Linked DNA regions of Saccharomyces cerevisiae S288C. The protein of the gene in region 2 binds, or shares a complex with, the protein of the main gene of each other region. Links are inferred from orthologs where the notes say so. Each region holds a gene or a part of one and is shown on either strand. Other genes may lie near its edges. The genes, in order: ATG29, ATG31 and ATG17.

Region 1 (3,012 bases), on a different chromosome or scaffold from region 2:
TTGTGTGCGAGAGTTTGTTTAATCTTAAATATATGGATCCTCAGTGCATAACATACCGAGCTTTCAATATGTTACAATCGAATGAGCTTAGCAAAATATCTAAATTTCCTGTCTTACTGCACTTTCAAAAATTAGTATTTCAAACACTCTATATTCTATTACCTTCACATTTGCATAGAATGCTCTCCATACCGCTATTGAGACATATATTAGGTACTGAATATGGGAATGCTTTTGGTTTATGGCAAGAGGGCGAAGCCTCAGACAGCAGAGAATATTTTGGATACTGGGTATTTCCAGAAGCCTCCTATTTCAACCACTCTTGTAACCCCAATATAACGAAATATCGTAAAGGTAATTCAATGCTATTCACTATGAATAGAGATATAAAAAAGGATGAGCAGATCTGTATCGATTATTCCGGGGTACTGGACTTACCAACAGTAAAACGCCGGGCCTTTTTGGCCGACAGTTGGTTTTTTGATTGTGCTTGTGAAAGATGTAAATCAGAATTGCAATCTGTCCATTAGCGCTTCTTCCAACGCAGATTTACTAACACTTAAGCTCGAAGATAAATCGTCATCTGAACTACCGCACTCCATTTCTTTATTAATACCATCCTTATCCAATTTGTCATTAGGCTTATTCTCACTATCCGATGTTTTCTTGTGAATGTTCAAAATTTTGGAAGTTTGCAAATGTTGTAACGCCTCATTTGTTACTTCTGTCTCAACTTCTTCAGAATCCTGTCTTTCCGTGGTCAGTGGGCTTGCGGATACATTTAATAGATTATCATTTTGTAAAGTAGGGGTATATTTATGTATTAAATCAGACATCCCTTCATTCACTTGATCATTTGAATACTTCTCAAGATCTCTTTTTTTCTCCAATTGTAGTTGTAAAAGCTCTAAGTGTTCAGCAAATAATTTATATGTTCTCTTTTTAAGAAAAAATTCAGGCGTTTCAAATATTTTTGATAAATTCTGCCAATCTATTTGATCTTGTGAATAATTCAAATTTGATACCATTGTCCAAAGCTGTCGCTCCTTTGTTCCATTCCACTCAAATTTGGGAGGATCCAAGAATCCCTGTGGTCTCCTACCCTTAACTTTGATATATACAACTGTGTTTGTACTATTCATAATCATGAAAGTCAAGTAGGAAAATGCACAGCAGTACAATTATGTATGTCTCTTCTTGATAAGTATTCACTAACACCCCTTTATTTTCACCTTGAATCATTTTTTTGACGAGTGCAGTGCGTCTAGAAATAGTGTACTTGAAGAAAAAAGCCATCTCTGTAATAGAAGCACAAAACAAGAGAAAGTATTTGAGTCAATACAAAACTACAAGTTGTGGCGAAATAAAATGTTTGGAAATGTCGAGGGAGTCGAACGACACAATACAGAGCGATACGGTTAGATCATCCTCTAAATCAGACTATTTTAGAATCCAGCTAAATAATCAAGACTACTATATGTCAAAACCCACCTTTTTGGACCCATCGCACGGTGAAAGCCTGCCCTTAAACCAGTTTTCACAGGTCCCAAACATCAGGGTGTTTGGTGCTTTACCCACAGGGCATCAAGTATTGTGCCACGTCCATGGCATTCTACCTTACATGTTCATCAAGTATGATGGACAAATAACTGACACGAGTACATTGAGACACCAAAGATGTGCCCAAGTTCATAAAACGCTGGAAGTAAAAATTAGGGCATCCTTTAAAAGGAAAAAAGATGATAAACACGATTTAGCCGGCGACAAACTTGGAAATCTCAATTTTGTCGCTGATGTCTCTGTTGTAAAGGGTATACCATTTTATGGTTACCACGTTGGCTGGAATCTGTTTTACAAAATTTCTTTGCTTAATCCTTCTTGTCTAAGTAGGATTTCGGAATTGATTAGAGATGGCAAGATTTTCGGAAAGAAATTCGAAATTTATGAATCACATATTCCTTACTTGCTACAATGGACCGCAGATTTTAACTTATTTGGATGTTCATGGATAAACGTGGATAGGTGTTATTTTCGCTCTCCTGTTTTAAATAGTATACTGGACATAGATAAGCTGACAATTAATGATGATCTTCAGTTGTTACTAGATCGATTTTGTGACTTCAAGTGTAACGTACTCAGTAGAAGGGATTTTCCACGGGTTGGAAATGGATTGATTGAGATAGATATACTACCGCAATTCATCAAAAATAGAGAAAAGTTACAGCATAGAGATATACATCACGACTTTTTGGAAAAACTGGGAGATATTTCTGACATACCTGTCAAACCATATGTATCCTCTGCTAGGGACATGATAAATGAACTTACCATGCAACGAGAGGAGTTGTCCTTGAAGGAATATAAAGAACCACCAGAAACAAAGCGCCATGTGAGTGGTCATCAATGGCAATCTTCTGGAGAGTTCGAAGCGTTTTATAAGAAAGCACAACATAAAACAAGTACTTTTGATGGTCAAATACCAAATTTTGAGAACTTTATAGATAAGAATCAAAAATTCTCAGCCATAAATACGCCCTATGAAGCATTACCGCAATTGTGGCCAAGGCTTCCACAGATTGAAATAAACAATAATAGTATGCAAGATAAAAAGAACGACGACCAAGTTAATGCATCGTTCACCGAATACGAGATATGTGGTGTTGATAATGAGAACGAAGGTGTAAAAGGAAGCAATATAAAGTCTCGGTCTTATTCATGGTTACCGGAAAGCATTGCGTCTCCGAAAGATTCTACTATACTATTAGATCATCAAACAAAATATCACAATACGATAAATTTTTCAATGGATTGTGCTATGACGCAAAATATGGCAAGTAAACGAAAACTTAGATCATCTGTTTCTGCTAATAAAACATCGTTGCTGTCTCGGAAAAGAAAGAAGGTTATGGCTGCGGGATTACGCTATGGAAAAAGAGCCTTTGTTTATGGTGAGCCTCCTTTCGGTTATCAAGATATTCTGAATAAATTGGAAGACGAGGGATTCCCAAAAAT
Region 2 (3,177 bases):
GTATGGGAACCAGGCTTCTAAATCGTACTTTTTAGCGGCAGCATTGTTTAATTCACCGGAAACGATACCAACGATACGGTATGGTAATTTCAAAGACTTATAAAATTCCTCAGAGTAAGAGATCATCTTTTCAAACTCCTCCCAAGATTTTTCAGGTTCAGTGATGACGAATTGTTCAATTTTTTCGAAAGCATGAACTCTGAAGACACCCCAAGCATCCTTACCGTGAGAACCGGCTTCTCTACGGAAACAAGAGGAGTAACCGACATAGTGAATTGGCAATTGCTCTTGTGGCTTTTCAAACCATTCACCGCTGTGGTAAGCGGAGATAGGTTGTTCTGAGGTAGCAATTAGGTATTTTTCATCTTCACCATCGATAACTTTGTATAACTCTTCATCGAATTCAGATAGTTGAGCAGTTTTTGACATAAGTTCTTTATTCATCATGACTGGAGCTTGTAAAGGAATATAACCCTTGGCAGCTAAGAACTGTAAACCATAGTTAATCAAAGCTTGGTTCAAGAAAACACCATAATTTCTGAAGAAATAACCTCTATGACCACAAATCTTTACACCACGGTCTGGATCATATCCATCTAATCTTAGCAAGATTTCATGATGGGATAAACTAGCTGGTTTACCAGTCACAGAAGCAATGGGGCCAACCGCTTCTAAATCCTCTGGTTTCCAAGTACGGACCAATTCATTGTTTTCTTCATCGTTGGAAACAACAACAGATGGATGAACGATATTTCCTACTTGAAAAACTTTTTTCTTCAAGTCCTTATCTTCCTGTTGCTCCTTTTCAGTCAATTCCTTCTTTTGTTGGGTTAACTTCTCTTTTTCGGCTAATAATCCGGAAGCGTCTTCCTTGTTTTTAAACTTCAAACCAATATCCTTTTGAAGCTTGTTGAATTTCTTGTTCAATTCATCTAATTCGAATCTTGTTTTGACCCAATCTTTGTAGTCGGAAATAATTTCATCGACGATTTCAACACTGGCATTTCTTGCTTTCTGAGATTGTCTGATTAGCTCTGGGTTACCACCCTTATCTTCGATAAATTGGTTGATGTCCAACATTTTTAATTACACGCTTTTCCTTGTGCCAGTTCACGAATTGTAATATATATATATATATATATATATTACATTGCGATCTTATCAACTTATTTTCTGCTATTTTTCAAATTTCATTGAGTTGATTCGAAGAAATGACAAAAAAATTTTTTTTTGCACCACGTGATTTTTTTTTAATATATATGAGGAACAATTTTCGAGCCGGATAGGCCGCATTCATGTTTTTTACAATTTTACCTTCGTATAAATGTAGGAACTCTTTTTTGTTCTGCTGACCATACTTACTCTAAGGAAAAAAGTCAAACATAATGTCCATCCTTATCAGTAATATGTGAAAAATTCGCCATGCTGCAGCTAATATCACCAAAATCAGTGTATTTTTGACTCGATACGTATTGTAAAACGTGCCCAGTCCTGCATCTGCATTTTCAAACGGTGTCGTCGACACTGTAAAATAAATCTGTCCTTTGAATTGCAGGCATAACTTGAAAGAAATACACACTTTCGACATATAATAGGCGAACAGGCCTTAAAAAAATTAGTTTAATGACAGAAGCACCACTCTTGTGGATTATCCTGAAAAAGTTATTTTACATTTAATATAGCGATATTGGGATTAAGTCATTTCCAATGGGTTTCCGGTCCAATGGTCCAGTGGTTCAAGACGTCGCCTTTACACGGCGAAGATCCCGAGTTCGAACCTCGGTTGGATCAGAATCTTTTTTATCGTAAAAGATAATAATTTGAAGTACATATCCATAATATAAGGGTGGTCAATATCCAAGATAAACGTCGCATTCCCATTTTCTTATTAAGCCGGTAAACATTGCTGAAATCTGCGAACAGGAATGAATGTTACAGTTACTGTTTATGATAAAAATGTCAAGTACAGATTAGAAGAGAATATCAAAAATAACAAGGGTCCCAGCAACGATGATCAACCAGCATACAATAATGAATCAAAGAGCACGGACGGAAGTGATTATGCAATGTTTCCCACTAACATTAAGTACATATTTGAGGACAACAATGATGAACTAGTAGATTCAAGTGATGCTGCTTTGACAGCAGGAATAGATAAGGTCGGAGATGAACTTGAAAATGTCATAATTGTCCAATTGGATGAATCGGGATCTCTTGAGGATATCACACTAATCAGCGACCAATATGAGCTTTTGTCACATAGGACAAATAGTCTCAGCTTGGAGGAAAACCAAATGAGAACATTATCATCACATGGTGATGATAAATCTAATGATGAAGAGGAAGAACTTAGCGTTGACAGTGATAGATTCAGAGTGGACTCGGACATTGAGCTCGATGTAATTTCACAATTTTGCGATCTGTCTCCTTTTCTTCGCGATTTGAGTTTGAATGACTTAATTAAACTCTACGTCACACAAAATGAACAATTACAAATGCTCTCCAATTCCGTATGAAAGCAAAAATGAAGCCGCATGGATGAGACTCTCTTAACTTGTTTATGTAGGTATATGTTCTCTATATTTTATGATAATTCTGCAAAATTTGCTGGCATCGGATTTATTTTGATAGAATAGAATTTTTCAATTTCTCTAAGTTTTGCTAAATCAGCTTTGGTAATGAAGTTTATAGCCACACCCTTTCTACCAAATCGACCACTTCTACCGATACGATGGATGTAATTTTCTATTATTTCTGGTAGGTCATAGTTAATGACTAAAGAAACTTGTTGGACATCAATACCGCGCGCCCAAACATCCGTCGATATCAGTACACGAGAATGACCTGTTCTAAAATCATTCATTACTTTATCTCTTTCTTCTTGTTTCATATCACCATGCATGGAGACTACAGCAAAGTTTGATTGGATTAGCCGCTGAGATAACCAATCTACTTTTTTCTTGGTGTTACAGAATATCACACATTGTGTAATGGTCAAAGAATCGTATATATCACACAGAGTATCGAATTTCCACTCTTCTTTGTCAACATTAACGACATATTGTTTGATACCTTCAAGTGATATTTCATCCCTCTTCACTAGGATTTTAACTGGATCATTCATAAATTTTCTGGTTACTTCTAAAATGTCCTTATTCATTGTTGCGCTGACAACAA
Region 3 (3,513 bases), on a different chromosome or scaffold from region 2:
ATCTTCTAGTGCGTCTTTTTGAGGAAAATTTCGCTGAGGAGATAGAAAGATATAGTCGTACTCTCAGTGAGGCCAATCGTAGCAGGAATAACATGATTACTGCTCGAATAATTTCGCACAAGAACCCCAATAAAAAGGCAAGCTTTTCTGGAAGGGATCATCACACCTCAGGGTCCAATCATAGCCAATTTGTATTAGAACATAGCGACTCATTTGGCCCAAACAGTTTACTTTTTGGAAAATATTTAACAAGAACGTTATCCCACTCGTCCACTACGAGCAGTTTGGATAAAAGTGGAATTGTTTCCGGCACTTCGAGCACCTTTTTGGCAGGGTCACAGCCAAACACCAACACAGATTCACAGCACAAGCATGATTACTCACATTCGGGATAATATGTCAGAAGTTGTTCACTATAAAATATACGCATATGTAATCATTTATTTATTCATTCATGACTTTTAGTTGAAAAGGGCACATTTTTCTTTGTCGTAAAAGTGAAGAAGACAGCGAATTTTTTCCTTTCTCCTTCAAGTATTGCTTTTTTGATAAAGTATTTTTCGAAATATTGATACAATTATTGAATCTTTGTACCGTATCCTTTTTTTCCTTTTTTCTAAGGATTCTTCACGTTGTAATTTAAAGTGTACAGGGAAGAAAAATCGTCAATTTTACCGGGCCAGATTGTCTCAGGAAGATAAGTTCCATTTTCCGCTATAAAATTCTGACGTTCTTCCTGGTCCTGAGCATCTAAATTCTGCAACTGCTTTTCACAATCTTTCAATATAGTTTTCATTCTGTTTGCCACATCCTTTCTCCTCTTTGCTTCTAGAACTAAGTTACCGTAGCTTTCTTCAAAATTATCATAAAATTCACAAAGTTCCTTAGTTGTTTGAATATCTTGTGTACAGGAATTTTTGAAGCTATCAATCAGATTGGAAATATCTTTAAAGATTAATAGATATTCCAAATTTCTATTGAAATCGTTTATTATTTCAGAAACTTCGCTGTGTAGTTCTGTCTTTTCCTTTATTTTTGCCTGCAAAAATTGACCCAAGTTAAGAATTGTTTTGTCCACGTCATCAATTACCTCATGCAGAGTTTTGAAAATGTTGTATAGTTCTTTGTCGTCGCCTTGTACCACCTTAAACAGCTCCTCACGTTCATCGTTATCAATTTTTTTATCTTGTAACAGCAATGTCTTATCAAAGTGCTGTGTCAATGAATTCATTATCTCTGCTAAATCTTTTTCAAGGTCCGTTAGTTCCCTGCTAAACTGCTCTGCAACATTTGTTTCCATCAGGTTATCTATACCAAATTTACTTTGGAATTTTTGAGTTACGTCCGTCAACTTGGTATCAATCAGTTCTTTGTTAACTTTTCTGACCATATTTTCGTATTGAAGCTTAATGTTTTCAATTTGACGCTCAATTACTGGCACTTCTTTCAGTTTGTCATTCAATAAGTTAACGTTGTCTCTCGAGATGTAATCTCCTAGTTTAGAGGGATCGGTATCATCTTTTTCTGATATGCTCAATTCATTTACTATACCATCCAACCTTTGTACTTTAGAAGTGATTTCATATTGCCAGTACTTCATCTCATCAACTAAGACCACTAAGACAGCTTGATTCCATTGTTTCTGGATTAGCTTTGTCCCAATGCCTTCCTTTAAAATAGTGTAAAGAAACTTTCCTTGCTGTCTCAAGCCAACTATTAGAAAATTGAGTTTTGAAATACTCAACTGCCAAGATGACAATTTTTTCTTAATATCTACAATCCTTAAATTAGCACTTGAACATAAAAGTTGAGCATCGGTCAGCGTTTTCCTGGCATTATTAACAAATTTTGTAACATCTGCTTCGTTCATAGGTGTTAAATACGTTGATAATATCCTCGCAGTATCGAATTTATCGTACGTTATGCGACTTTCAAATAATTATCAAGTTAGGGATATCTTGCAATTTTTAATACTGAGGCCTTAGAGCGCGCATCTAGTATTTACATTATGTCAAAACAATAACAAAAATCCAAAATTTCGAAATAGTACAACCGAGAGAGGTCGAAGAACTTAAGCCTTCAGTACGCCAAAACATGGAGGATTCGGACTCCAACACAGATAAAAAGTTCTTTTTCAAAAAAAGAAGAATCGATTCCTATAATTATAGCGATGAGGAAGATAATAATTCAAGCATGAATAGTGACATGACATACACTAATGATGCCTTGAAAACTAGTAGCGGCAATGCCCCAACGATCTCAAAATTAACGAAGACATATGGTATTGGTGCGAAGTTACTTTCGAGTATGGGATATGTTGCGGGAAAAGGCCTTGGGAAGGATGGTTCTGGTATAACTACACCAATAGAAACCCAAAGCCGACCTATGCACAATGCAGGTCTAGGAATGTTTTCAAATACCAACTCCAGTAACTATCACAGTGAAAATGAGGATTACTTGAGCTCTGAGGATGAGGTGGTTGAAGGTATAGAACAAGTCAAATTCAATAAAACCTCCACGGAGGTTTTAGGCGAAGCGTTGTTAAATGATAGTGGTGATATGACTATAGTGCGAACACTGAGAGAATTGAGGTTAGCAGGGGTACAATTACCAGAGAGTATCCTAAAAGAATTAGACCCTTTAAATGCAGTACCAAAGCCGAAAAAAGATGTTGTTGTGGAGATATTGCAAGAGCTGCTGGGTATTGAAAAAAGTTTGGAAGCTATTCGTCAGCGCACCTCTCCGTTAGAAGTGCAAGTCAAAGAATATTATGGACAAGAGAGGCTTCTTTCTGAATTGGAGGTTACTTTGAGGGACGAAAGCAAGCATGTTTCCCTGTATGATAAGATTGGTGCTATTTTAAAATTGTCCGACGACGAGCTCATAGATAGGCTAACGTCCTGCTTATTGAGAAAAGAATTACTAATAGAATTTGATTTGGATCATTTAGAAAAGCCAAACGATATACTTGATGAGTTAACGCAAATTATAGAACTACTCGCATATAGAATGGATACAACTTCGAAATTTTTGAACAGGACACAAACAACAATCTTTAAAGTTATATATCCCAAACTCAAAAAATTTTGGGAAGGGTTTGATATGACTAAATCAAAAATCGACAGCGCTATCACCCTATTACTGGATTTCCAACAAGTGCTAAGTTTTATCGGGTGTAAAGAGCATATCATGGAGGAATTCGTCTATCCAAAGCTATTACAGGAATTAGATAATTGGGAACTTCACGATGAAGTAGACCATGTTTCGCCAAGAATATGGGTCTTGGATTTTATGGTTTTAATTGACGATAAGATCAAAGACACAATTGTGGACAAGATTGAAGCAAAATTTTTTGCTTATTGTAAAAATTGGTACCATAGGGAATCATTTTGTATCACTAATTCTGATATTATATTTATCAAAGAACTTATCTGCGAACGAAGATATTACAAAATTTTATGTAAAGAGTTTCTTCCTAAATTCCTGGACGAGCTGTGGGAAAGACATAATGAC

Evidence for each region.
Region 1: the proteins of ATG31 (region 2) and ATG29 are in contact, whole or in part, in a crystal structure (PDB 5JHF), measured with the Lachancea thermotolerans proteins. The link is inferred for Saccharomyces cerevisiae S288C from one-to-one orthologs. Residues at the interface, in XP_002552568.1 of Lachancea thermotolerans: Val9, Leu10, Pro12, Phe13, Val15, Val17, Gly34, His35, Pro36, Asp37, His38, Gln41, Val43, Met44, Phe45, Ala46, Thr47, Asn48, Val49, Lys50, Tyr51, Ile52, Phe53, Glu54, Asp55, Asp56, Glu58, Leu60, Asp65, Ile68; in XP_002553217.1 of Lachancea thermotolerans: Met1, Asn2, Ser3, Glu4, Asn5, Thr6, Ile7, Val8, Tyr9, Val10, Arg11, Val12, Ala13, Gly14, Arg15, Ala16, Arg17, Phe20, Asp22, Pro23, Lys25, Phe26, Tyr27, Trp28, Asp29, Leu30, Glu31, Asp33, Arg34, Trp37.
Region 3: the proteins of ATG31 (region 2) and ATG17 are in contact, whole or in part, in a crystal structure (PDB 4P1W), measured with the Lachancea thermotolerans proteins. The link is inferred for Saccharomyces cerevisiae S288C from one-to-one orthologs. Residues at the interface, in XP_002552568.1 of Lachancea thermotolerans: Ile73, Glu86, Ile88, Asp90, Gln91, Lys93, Leu110, Ser111, Arg112, Phe113, Glu114, Thr115, Pro116, Leu119, Gly120, Leu124, Glu125, Leu127, Val128, Leu130, Tyr131, Lys132, Gln134, Asn135, Asp136, Leu138, His139, Leu141, Phe142, Leu145; in XP_002553389.1 of Lachancea thermotolerans: Arg39, Lys43, Phe44, Ser46, Lys47, Leu48, His49, Phe50, Val51, Asp53, Cys54, Ile55, Gln57, Gln58, Lys60, Phe61, Leu62, Ile65, Leu66, Glu69, Gly70, Ile71, Asn74, Leu75, Gln283, Leu286, Ser287, Leu290, Leu293, Arg294.

Annotation. Positions count from the first base shown.
Region 1 is NC_001148.4:235,474-238,485, reverse strand, and holds ATG29 (Atg29p), read right to left. Parts: upstream 1,149-3,012; coding exon 507-1,148; downstream 1-506. Other genes in the region: SET6 (Set6p), read left to right, coding at 1-530; REV3 (DNA-directed DNA polymerase), read left to right, coding at 1,379-3,012. UniProt on the Saccharomyces cerevisiae protein: Plays a role in autophagy. Functions at the preautophagosomal structure (PAS) in order to form normal autophagosomes under starvation conditions. Also plays a role in mitophagy and regulation of filamentous growth.
Region 2 is NC_001136.10:487,411-490,587, reverse strand, and holds ATG31 (Atg31p), read left to right. Parts: upstream 1-1,925; coding exon 1,926-2,516; downstream 2,517-3,177. Other genes in the region: serine--tRNA ligase SES1, read right to left, coding at 1-1,080; ATP-dependent RNA helicase FAL1, read right to left, coding at 2,585-3,177. UniProt on the Saccharomyces cerevisiae protein: Plays a role in starvation-induced autophagy. Involved in mitophagy. Functions with ATG17 and ATG29 at the preautophagosomal structure (PAS) in order to form normal autophagosomes under starvation conditions.
Region 3 is NC_001144.5:971,301-974,813, forward strand, and holds ATG17 (protein kinase regulatory subunit ATG17), read right to left. Parts: upstream 1,871-3,513; coding exon 617-1,870; downstream 1-616. Other genes in the region: guanine nucleotide exchange factor DCK1, read left to right, coding at 1-395; mRNA splicing protein SPP382, read left to right, coding at 2,095-3,513. UniProt on the Saccharomyces cerevisiae protein: Autophagy-specific protein that functions with ATG13, ATG29, and CIS1/ATG31 in response to autophagy-inducing signals as a scaffold to recruit other ATG proteins to organize pre-autophagosomal structure (PAS) formation.